Neodiprion lecontei: one gene and its partners. The protein of the gene in region 2 binds, or shares a complex with, the protein of the main gene of each other region. Links are inferred from orthologs where the notes say so. Each region holds a gene or a part of one and is shown on either strand. Other genes may lie near its edges. The genes, in order: uncharacterized protein LOC107221970, NADH dehydrogenase [ubiquinone] 1 alpha subcomplex subunit 13 and NADH dehydrogenase [ubiquinone] 1 alpha subcomplex subunit 8.

Evidence for each region.
Region 1: the proteins of NADH dehydrogenase [ubiquinone] 1 alpha subcomplex subunit 13 (region 2) and uncharacterized protein LOC107221970 are in contact, whole or in part, in a cryo-EM structure (PDB 8ESZ), measured with the Drosophila melanogaster proteins. The link is inferred for Neodiprion lecontei from reciprocal best matches to the Drosophila melanogaster genes ND-B16.6 and ND-15. Residues at the interface, in NP_001284943.1 of Drosophila melanogaster: Leu79, Glu82, Arg83, Glu86, Phe87, Gln90, Arg93, Glu97, Glu98, Leu101, Met102, Asn104, Val105, Trp108, Gly111, Thr112, Trp113, Glu116, Pro117, Val118, Phe119, Lys120, Thr121, Leu122, Thr129, Pro130, Ile131, Phe132, Lys133, Glu134; in NP_001162841.1 of Drosophila melanogaster: Phe30, Lys33, Asp52, Leu53, Ser55, Asp56, Glu59, Cys60, Met63, Lys65, Gln66, Leu67, Met68, Arg69, Phe70, Ala72, Met73, Arg74, Glu76, Arg77, Gln80, Glu85, Arg86, Phe92, Ala93, Asp94, Pro95, Pro96, Arg97, Val98.
Region 3: the proteins of NADH dehydrogenase [ubiquinone] 1 alpha subcomplex subunit 13 (region 2) and NADH dehydrogenase [ubiquinone] 1 alpha subcomplex subunit 8 are in contact, whole or in part, in a cryo-EM structure (PDB 8ESZ), measured with the Drosophila melanogaster proteins. The link is inferred for Neodiprion lecontei from reciprocal best matches to the Drosophila melanogaster genes ND-B16.6 and ND-19. Residues at the interface, in NP_001284943.1 of Drosophila melanogaster: Arg63, Asp64, Ile66, Glu67, Met68, Ser70, Ala71, Asn73, Val74, Ile75, Phe76, Pro77, Ile78, Val80, Ala81, Glu82, Arg83, Asp84, Arg85, Phe87, Leu88, Arg89, Leu91, Arg92, Arg93, Arg95, Val110, Gly111, Val118, Glu124; in NP_001163296.1 of Drosophila melanogaster: Val2, Ile3, Thr4, Asn5, Asn6, Thr7, Thr8, Leu9, Pro10, Glu11, Glu12, Leu15, Asn16, Val17, Gln18, Glu19, Leu20, Leu27, Arg28, Ala31, Phe32, Leu34, Gly35, Asn42, Phe45, Met46, Arg49, Asp54, Pro55, Arg56.

The regions. Positions count from the first base shown.
Region 1 is NC_060260.1:32,705,183-32,707,817, forward strand, and holds uncharacterized protein LOC107221970, read left to right. Parts: upstream 1-1,786; coding exon 1,787-2,086; downstream 2,087-2,635. Other genes in the region: cytoplasmic tRNA 2-thiolation protein 2, read left to right, coding at 1-490.
Region 2 is NC_060262.1:19,822,435-19,826,346, forward strand, and holds NADH dehydrogenase [ubiquinone] 1 alpha subcomplex subunit 13, read left to right. Parts: upstream 1-1,992; 5' UTR 1,993-2,053; coding exon 2,054-2,153; intron 2,154-2,289; coding exon 2,290-2,440; intron 2,441-2,521; coding exon 2,522-2,729; 3' UTR 2,730-3,401; downstream 3,402-3,912. Other genes in the region: myotubularin-related protein 10-B, read right to left, coding at 1-20, 198-322, 432-587, 1,120-1,314, 1,520-1,582; uncharacterized protein LOC107227562, read left to right, coding at 3,417-3,762.
Region 3 is NC_060263.1:14,711,490-14,715,089, forward strand, and holds NADH dehydrogenase [ubiquinone] 1 alpha subcomplex subunit 8, read right to left. Parts: upstream 1,838-3,600; 5' UTR 1,708-1,837; coding exon 1,579-1,707; intron 1,266-1,578; coding exon 1,090-1,265; intron 993-1,089; coding exon 770-992; 3' UTR 635-769; downstream 1-634. Other genes in the region: inositol hexakisphosphate and diphosphoinositol-pentakisphosphate kinase 2, read left to right, coding at 2,769-2,801, 3,486-3,593.

The DNA of each region.
Region 1 (2,635 bases), on a different chromosome or scaffold from region 2:
ATTGAATACAGAATTTTCGGGGACCGTTTCCGCGATATTTAGAACAGGTGAAAAACTAAGTATAGGCAATTTAGAAGCGAGTAATTTAATCGAGACATGCGCCCTGTGTAGGGCTCAGCTAGACACAGTATTTACGAACACTTCTTCTCTGCAGGCCACAGAGTTTTCCAAATTGATATCTGCAGAAGGGCCAAAGGGTAATATTGGCAAAGCCGCGTTTGAGCTAAAAAAATTTCCTTGTGTCATCGATGCAGCTGAGAATGTACCTTTACGTGATTCGAAAAATTGTGACAACTGTAGCTGTAGCAAAGGCAAAGAGAAATTTGAAATGTCTGCCAAGAATTTTGAGAAGTACCTGTGCTATGGGTGCAGATTAATATTTAAAGATCTGGACAAGCAACACAGCATTCCGGACTTTTTACAAAACTCCGTAAGGCAAAGAATATCTTTAGATGATATGCGAGAGGAGATAGCAGATTTTTTATTGTGATTAAAATATCTTGTTCAATAAGTTCGTTGTAAATAAACTATATCCATACCAAATCCTTGTTTGCTCGTGACGAGAATTAGTAGTAACAATAATTCCAAGTATTGGCGTTACTAATCGGCTGAATGACGGTAAAAAATATTTCTTTGCTCATAATTCAATCTGAAGCAGATTATTTATTTTTACAACTACAACTTTATACAGCTTCTGCAATGAGTTAAAAAAAAAATGATAACATCGTTAAGATCCTTCAATTTCTTCACAGTCTGCATTGAATCAAATTTTGCATGTAAATGTGAACGCGGTTTTCCGAACTGTGCTGAATGCAAATGCCGTAAATGTAAATCAGGACTTATGTATAACATATAAAACAGAAAATATTAACAATGTTCGAACAAGATTTTTTTTCACGTTTATATTATATCATGCTGAAATGCTTAGTTTTTTTATTGCTTTCGTAGAGTCTATTCTTAGGCACTATCTTCGAGAGTGAAAAAAGGAAAAAAACTTCGAGACATGCAGGTTCTAGTTTTCCACAGAGTCTTCTAGTGTGAGCTATTATATTATTTTGAATTCCACGAGCTTCCGGTGCCAACCGATGAGCAGAGCTAGTGTCTCTATAGCACGTCTGTAGTGACGTTTGCTATATTCGGAGAAACCTACGAAGTCAACGGTGAGTTTTTGCAATAAGTTGATACAAACTAATAAAATATCCCCGAACAATAAGATGGATTTATTACGATGATAGGATGCATTTATCAATCTTTTTCATCACAATTCACTTTGTTTATCGGGGTTATATAAGTTGTTGCATAAGCTCAGATACGTTGTTGAGGTTATGTTTTTCTTGCAAAATTCATCACGTTTATTCGGTTTCCTATTATAATACGTGTTATTCCTATTATAATACATTGTTCATTTGTCGTATAATCAAATAGATTGTATTATTTTTATTTCAACAACTTCTGAAGAATGAGCAAAACATATTCTTGTCATTGCTCAAATAACACCCTACGATTTTCTAATTTATTTTTGTACGGTAGTCGAATATTGACTCAATTTGAAAAAGTTTATTCATAAGGTTGCGGATCTGATAGTCATTCAGTTAGTTTCCTCGAGAATGTTTCTATATATCAGCTGTACACTACTTACACATAATTGACGTACAGGTTGTTGATATATTAATGAATTGCAACAATTTCAAAAGAGAGCCGAAGGTTTTAAGAAGCGAGGTACGAGTTAAATGAATTCTATTTGAAATGCCATTTACCGGATGTCATATGTTTCAGAGTTTCAATCATGGATTTTGCTCCGGCATTCCGCACACCCGTCATGGACTTGACAGGGTGTCTTATCAATGCTCAGCAATCGCATAGATGTAAAGATTACGAGCTGCATTTTTACGAATGCATGGAAGCTTATGGAATACCAAAGGGCTACAAAAAGTGTTCCGACATGTTTGAGGATTACCACGAGTGCTTAACACTTGGTAAGCAAAAGGCACGTGTCCAAGCCATCGCACAAGAGCAGGCTCGCCAATACAAGGAAGGAATTATTCCGAAACCGTATGCTGATCCCCCCAAAAGAGACAGCTATTGAAATCTAAGTATCAACATTAATAATGCTTAATCTGTAGTACTTGGCTTATCTGGAATAGACATAAAAAAAAAACATAGAATGACAGCTCTATACCGTGTCATTCGTTTCTTTGATAATAAAATTTATTCCTACCTAAGTAAATTCTGTTCGTCTTCCACTTCAGTTGCACCGTCAAAACATGTATATCGGGGTGTGAAGTAATATTTCTACAAAAGATACATCTCAAATACCATTTCAAACGAATATTATTGTTACAAATACGAAAAATTGACATACATTTTCAAATATTCATAATGGAAAGAGTAAATATTCCATTCTTCACTAAATGCCACCACACATTATTCCATTTCGGGAAATTCGGAAGATGAAAGCTTGCCGATTGGTTGATCACTGAAGGCCGAAGTGTTAACAAAGTCAGGATGAATACATTACGATACTTGATTGCCGGAGTAGTCTTCGGTAAGCCGTTCAAGGACGTAAACCAAAACCAATAAAATTTTCAAATCAAGAGCCTTGATCAAAACTAATCAAAACATCGCACTAGTTACA
Region 2 (3,912 bases):
TGCTATTGTAGTAAGGCTCTCTGAAAGCGCAGAAATTTCAGCTTTATCGCAAATAATAGCTAATGCTATAGATAGAAAAATACACTGTCTTAATGACAACAATAGCAATATAATAAAGGGCATTTTACAACTATGTATTACATGTAATTGTAATAGTAATAGTAATAATAGGATGGGTCATTACTTATTATACTGACTTGTAATCATATGCAAACAGAAGTTGATGCCTACTAGGGAAAGCGTGATGCAGTAGAGTGGTCAGTAAATTTTTACCGCAACCGACTGGTGAAAACTTAAATGAAAATGACCACGTCCTCATATTCTGAAATCTCATATTAATTACTACATTTCATCACACAGCAAGAATACACGTGTATGCATAGTATATAACACACAAACACAGACAAAGTTAAGGACCAGAGATAAATCACCTTGCAGACGATGAAGATTCCTTCTACTTTGGAAGGTATCGTACTTCCTGTATAGAGTCGTCTTTTTTTGTCACCTATGATTATATAAATGTCGTGTATATTTGACAAACATGTGTCTGTATATCCGCACAGATTATTTTGCTGATAAGTTACATCCTGAAAAGAACATTATTGACACTATTAATAAAACTAACCTCAGAAGAAGAAGACTTGTCAGCTATCTGGTCAGTTGTTCAGATATTTAAACAGATGGCATATTATAAACCATCTGCTTTATGAAAACTACACTGAGAAGTACTTAATTAAAGATATTGGTTCAACTGTGCATGCAATTTACAATTAGTTACAGATTTTATACAGAATGTCTTTCCATGTCATCCTTGACCAAACTAGACATTATGACTGACTAACGAGAAAGCTGCTGATACGGAAATCTAAGGGACTAATTGATATAAAATGATCACAACTTGTAAGCTAATTATTTTATGTATTTGTTGATCATTCCTAACATTCAGGGGTTTTTTATCAAACATGAATCATGAAAAACATGAGTACACATTAAACTATTCTGACAATATCTTGTATTAATGCCCGCCTTTAAAATAACGCCATAAGAATCCACGTCTGTGCAACATCTGCAAATAATTTAGCAGATTTGAATGAAACAAATAAATTTGAATATTTTTACCTCGCTATTGGTATCGTCAGTGGTGACGAAACTGAGCTTGAAATTTGTTACTGACAATATTCCGGATATTCCTTGGGTCAGATCGCCAACAGGGGCAAACATCAATACATTTTGTGCCTTTGCGATGAGAAGTTCACCAGCGAGTAGCTTCATGCTATTTTCAGACAAAGAATCCCGATGGCTTGTACCGAGCAGCTGAAATCAACAGTGAAACGTGAAGGAGTTTAGGATGTTTACACAGTATTACTTGATCAAATTCCAGAGCAAAATATCACATCTAGTGGTACTTCTAGGTTAAGTTCAAGTATTTACATAGTCATTCTGCACCATCTAATTACCAATTGACATATGAAACGCGGTATTTATTTTCGGGGTAAACATGAAAATTATAGAGGCCTACCTGCATTTCGTGTTGTTCGAAACCGACATAGCTGATAAAGTTGTTGCCAGTTTTGTTCTCCATTGTAGCAAGCTGCTAGCCGCTATCAAAGGAGAAAAATATCCGCCTCAACGATGAAAATCTCCGGTCAATCAATTTGTCGGTGGTATTTTAAACGTCAAAGGAACTTTTGAGGCGGGGAAAACACGCTGTTTGACATATTTCAAGGGAATTGAGAATGGCAAGACAGCAACGATGCGAAAAGGGAATTTGAAAAAAAAAAAACCAAAAAAAAAATTTCACCGAGGTTCTGTGTTGATGATGAATTTCTGATAACGAAAACTCAAGATGTATAATGAAATGTATGTAATACTGTCTGCTCAATCGCTGCTGCCTTTAATCATCGTCACTGATAGATCTCTGCAGAGGGCAGCACTAACTGTAACAAGGCCGCGATTTTGGAACGACACGCTTGTCCCGGTTTCCTCGCTAACATTGTTTAGTACGCCGTGGTCCAAGAACGGTGTTGGTGTTGAGTGCCACTGCTAGTGCGACATGGCGACCGCAGCCAAAACGACCCCGCAAGATTTGCCGCCGAAGGGCGGATACGGTCCAATTGTGACCGAAAGGACTAAATTGCGGTCCATTTTCAGCGGTACAGTATCACTCGACTTGCATCAATTCAAGTCACGAGTCACAGTTTCTCAGCTGTTGCGATACTTGGTTATGTTATGTAACTGGAGGTTCGATTTAACCTGCAGATGATTAGTTGTTCTAATTTATGTCCTTAGGTCGGTCGATGATACTTGGATATTTCGCTGTCACGTCAGTCTCATTCTACATTTACTTTAAGGGCTATAAAGTCATAAAAAAACATGAAGTTGAAATGAGAAGCGCCAGAATGGTCATGTTCCCTCTACTGCTTGCTGAACGGGATCGAGAGTATGACAGTTTAATCGACTTGGTTTGAACAAGTTCTTATTTCAAAACTTTTATCTTGATTGCGGTGTTCCGACTTTCCAGATATTTGAAGCAGCTGAGACGGAATCGTGACTCTGAAACGGAACTTATGAAGAACGTTAAGAATTGGGAGACTGGAACGTACTATGGAGAGCCTATTTACAAGACGGCCAAGAGCAGTAAACTGATAGATCCTGACTGTCTTGAGTATTACGCTTTTGCTTCAGATAAAGATTATCAGGACCGTGCTGAAATCTCATTGTGGACTTAAGTTTAAAACCCAAAGTAGATTCCAGAGAGATTCACATAATGATATTTTAGTGCTGATTGTAATTCTTACATGTGTTAAATAAAATTGTGTATGATGGAAACAACGCAGAGTCTTACGAACATGTTTGATAACTATTGTTCATTTTTAAGATTTGGGAATATTTGTGTCGGCAATTAGACTTTTGTAGTTATATATTGTGAAATGACTTTTGCTAAACATTGACGTCAATTTGATTGAGAAATCCAAGAAGATTTTGTGGAAATTTGGCATAGACTAGAAAATTTGACGAAAATAAGCACATTGAATGTCATATCTGCTTAGTTCTAGATTCTTAGTTCGGCTATAACTAGTCTACAAGTGAAGGTGAATAACTCTGCTTTATAATTTATGTTATAAATATAAATATAATTTATAACACGACTAACATATTTAAAAAATAAAAAATTGGAATAGCATTTCTAGAATTATTTAAGATTGGATTAGAGCATTGAAGTACATATTTTGAATTGTGTAGCAGTGCCTAAACAGTGTTTATAATCCGAAAATCGTGAGAAATATAAGCCTATCATCAGCCAACTTTTGGAAACGAGGAAGCTGAAACGACATATTTGAGTGGTGTCCATTATGTCTTCCCGCAAGTTTCAAAAATAAATCATACATAAAAACGTTGAATTTGTCATTTTTTAAATGCTGCCCAATCGAATATGCTTCTTCCTACACTTCCAAATAAAAAGTCGCGTGGAATTGCGTCGAGCGTCGCTATGGAGACAATGCTTTGTTAGTCATGTTAGTGTTTCTTCGGTACGGATTCGCGGTGTTTTTCTCTCAAATTTATGCAGATCTCGTCGGACTTTGACGGCATGTGTGATGGAGGGATCGAGGACAATGGAAGAATGCGATGAAACTTGTTCCTCAAAGCAGGATGGCGTTGCTGAGATGCGACCGGAAAGTCGCTGCGAGGATCAGCACCGCTGGCAGACTGTGACGAATGATTCGTATCAGGCCCCGTTGCCCAACCTTTCGCGAACATTGGGTAACACTTCAAGTTGCTATTTTCCATTCGTAAGACAGTTCAAGACAGTTTAAGGTCGATTTCGACGTTGTCATATATATTTTCAAATATCGAAGTCCACGTATATCAAACGCGAAACGGGGCTTAACAGAACCATTCCATACACAATTT
Region 3 (3,600 bases), on a different chromosome or scaffold from region 2:
CGATTTTTGAATTTCTATTCATTGTCAGATATTGGTATTCGTGTCGTCAGTTTCACAAAGTAATTTACCTGAAAAATGAATTTGTACATATTCTATTTTACCTTGAGAACATTGACTTTGAATTTAGATTGTTTGAAACCTGCTATATGTTTTGGAATCAGCAATGATTAGCTATAGAATAATTTCATTAATATGCTTGTAATTGGTGGTTAATTACATTAACAAGTTTCAGCATATTAGAACAGCAGCTGAAGGCGTATTTATCGCAATTCCGTTGTTAAGGCATGTAACGGAACATTTTTCATATTTAATACAACGGTCAGCCATAAAATAATTGTTAGGTTAACTAACATATGCTCTGTTCATACATAGCCAATTTTAATTGAGAAAGACATACCTATGTGTACTTACCACTAATAATTTATATTTTTTTCAAATTTTGAATACATCACAAATTGTCCAAGGATCCATTAAAATTCAAGTAGGTATGGAAATTTTTAATCAAACTCTCGAATGTATCCCAAATGTACAAACTAAATTAGAGTTTCAATTTCATTTGGATCATCTTCCCCTTACAGGAAATATGGCAAGATTTTTTTTTCAATATACCGTCACAAATAAATGGGAAATAAAATTATAGTACAGGTATAGATTGTATTTACACATTTCCTGTACACAAGAGTTGAGCACTACGATATGATATAGTACACAATCCGTCCACTATGTTCTATAAATAGTTAATAAGAAATTGATTCCATACTATGTGTATTTAGTTTCCAAATATGGATCTTGCACCAAAACGTGCTGGCAGGCGTTCGGCGTCATCCGGTAACTTTGGCGCAGCATCAGGGTAAACTGCTTTGGGCTCAGGTGGTGGCTTGGGCCTGGGTGAATCATGGACCTTTACTTCGCAGAAATATCCAAAGGACGGCCGCTCTATATTCAAGTTATCCAAAACACATTTGTCATAGACCGCTTGTGTCAACCGACAGCTGAAAAGACAAACGAGGAAGATTTTAATTGCTTTGTCGAGAAAGAAAACAAATGCTTCTAATTGCTATGGCAGCCAATGATGTCTAGATAAAGTACCGATTAAATGCCATATCTCCGCTGCTCTTGTCCAGGCAGGTTGCGTACTGAGTAAATTCATCGTAACAAGTTTTCTTTAATTTGCGAAAAAACTCCAGAGCACATGCAGTCACTGCTTTGCCTTCGTTCAAGCAACTTCTAGGATCATCCTCTTCTTGACGGCACAACATAAATTCCTGGACAGAACAAACAGCATTGAAAATCGAGGTTACTTATCCATAGAATTGATGCTTACAATCAATATCTGGTCCAGAAGATACAAATCATCATCAAAAACAACAAGCCAACTGAAAATTTGTTTTATTTGAGAATAATGGATCGTAGACTCTATTTCTATGCTCCATAAATTACATAATAATTCTAGTAACGTTGGGAGGAAAGTTATTTGGGATACAAAAAACAGCCTGAGCCTGAGTCGGAAATTGAAATTTCGGAGTATCGATGGGTCGATGAATCAGCCGAGCTACGTGAGATTGAATATTCATTTACGTTATTGTGGTGCTCGCAATGTTTGCCCATATGAAAAGCTGCGGCGCGCAGAGATGCTGTACCAACGTTAACCTCCTCAACAGTCAGTTCCTCTTCGGAAGGCAGGTACGTTGAACTTGTGATAACCATTTCGTACCTCTGTATCGGTTAGCGGCCGCTTTTCTATATAACTTAATTAACTTATTTTCAGAATCCTCAAGAATCCGTGCAACAACCCGAATGTCACAAATAAAACCCCCTCGACCTGCTCACTAGATCTGCAAACTGCAAAACGCAAGTGACGCAAGCGCAGATCCAAAACTCCGGTCGAACAGCTGAGAGACAGATGTGACAACTCTTAAACGAAAAATAACCGATTCCGACTCATTTTTAGCACACACTTCGCCGTCTACTGGATTCGTTGTCGCGACGTTATTGCAGTAATTTCGTCGATTCGTTGGTCGCGTCGAGAGAAGAGGGAAGAAGTAGGTGATGAAATACTTATGCTAATCAAATAATTGTGTACACCAATGTTTCGTAACCCGGACGGGCAACTCTGGACCGCTAATCAGTAAAATATAACGAAATAAACAAAATCCAGCTGGTCACATCGAAGTATGACACGCGATATGGCTGTCAGCTTCACATAAAATAATCAGATTATCACTACTGCGTGCTAGGTAGAAACTGACAACTTCGAATCACACCGCGCCTTTCTTGCTACACTCCAAATTATATTCAAATGAGAAATACTTTCGTTCCTTCATATTTCAGGTACAAACACAGTGTTACCTACTTCAGCTCCGGTACTGTTGTCAATATTCCAGCTTTGCCATCATTTCCTCAAATTGGAAATCAGTATTTTATGTTTCAACCTTATAAGTTTCAGCCAAATTTTCTTTACAAAGATAACTAGACTCTAGGAATAATTTATTTGTCAGAATCGCAGTTATTGTTACTGCGTTCAACTCACTTCAGTGAATTTTGGGTACAGATTGTAATGTTATGGCTTTTTTATGTTGTAACTGACAATTGTTTCAATGCTCAGGGTCAATGCAAATATTTGATTAGTTGGTAACAAATTCACAGACTAACTGCTAAGTGTTGCAAAAATTACAGAAATAAGAATGTGTATTCACTCTAATAGAAACACTGACCACTTGTCATATGATATGTAATTACAGCGAGAAAAAGAAAGAGACTTCTCTGATATGTCTTATACGGAATTAGAGTACGGCTACCAGGTAAGTGTATTCATTATCGACTCTGTATGAACAATTTTCTTTTCCTGTAAATTTACGCTGTTTTTTTTTCTGTAATTAACGAACTAGCCCAGAGAAAGTATTTGAAGATCATATAATCGTTTGCATATAATAACAAGTTCTAAACTAAGCATTTGCTGTTGGACTCTGAGTTTTATCATACCAATGAATATCCATCAGTAATTTGGTTTTATTACTATATATTTTTGCGCCCTTAAAGTGGTCAATTTTGAATTGAACTCTTGATATCATTAGCTTGTGGCTGGTTTTTATGCCTCCCTTTTTTTCTTCACGCTTGGTGCTCTTTCAATTGTAATCTACGAATATTTACGACTATGTTGACCTTTAGCCTACAGCGGCAGGCTCAGCCTTCTTTGCCTAACATAAGTTTATTGTCACGGTACTTATCTAGATGCTTTTACGCGTAGCCATGGACTAACAATAGCACCAGCTCATTATTACTTCCTAACAATTAATATAATTTCGGTTCTGGTTTCTTGGATCTGAATTTGTCATGATTTTTTTTTTCATCATTCGGGGAAGGGGGAAAAAATAGAGAAAGCAGCAAAATCGAATTAGACACAACAATGATCACAAGCCACGCATTGATCTGCTATTGGCAAAGCAACCAAACGATGTCTTACTTAGTTTGCATTCTACGAACAGGATCTGAAGAATGCAACAAGACCAGTCTTCTACGTAGGAGATATTAACCCAGGGCAATCCCCCCTCGTCGGTCAGTCCTCATCTTCGATCTACCATTCCTCGGTACGAGTGAGTT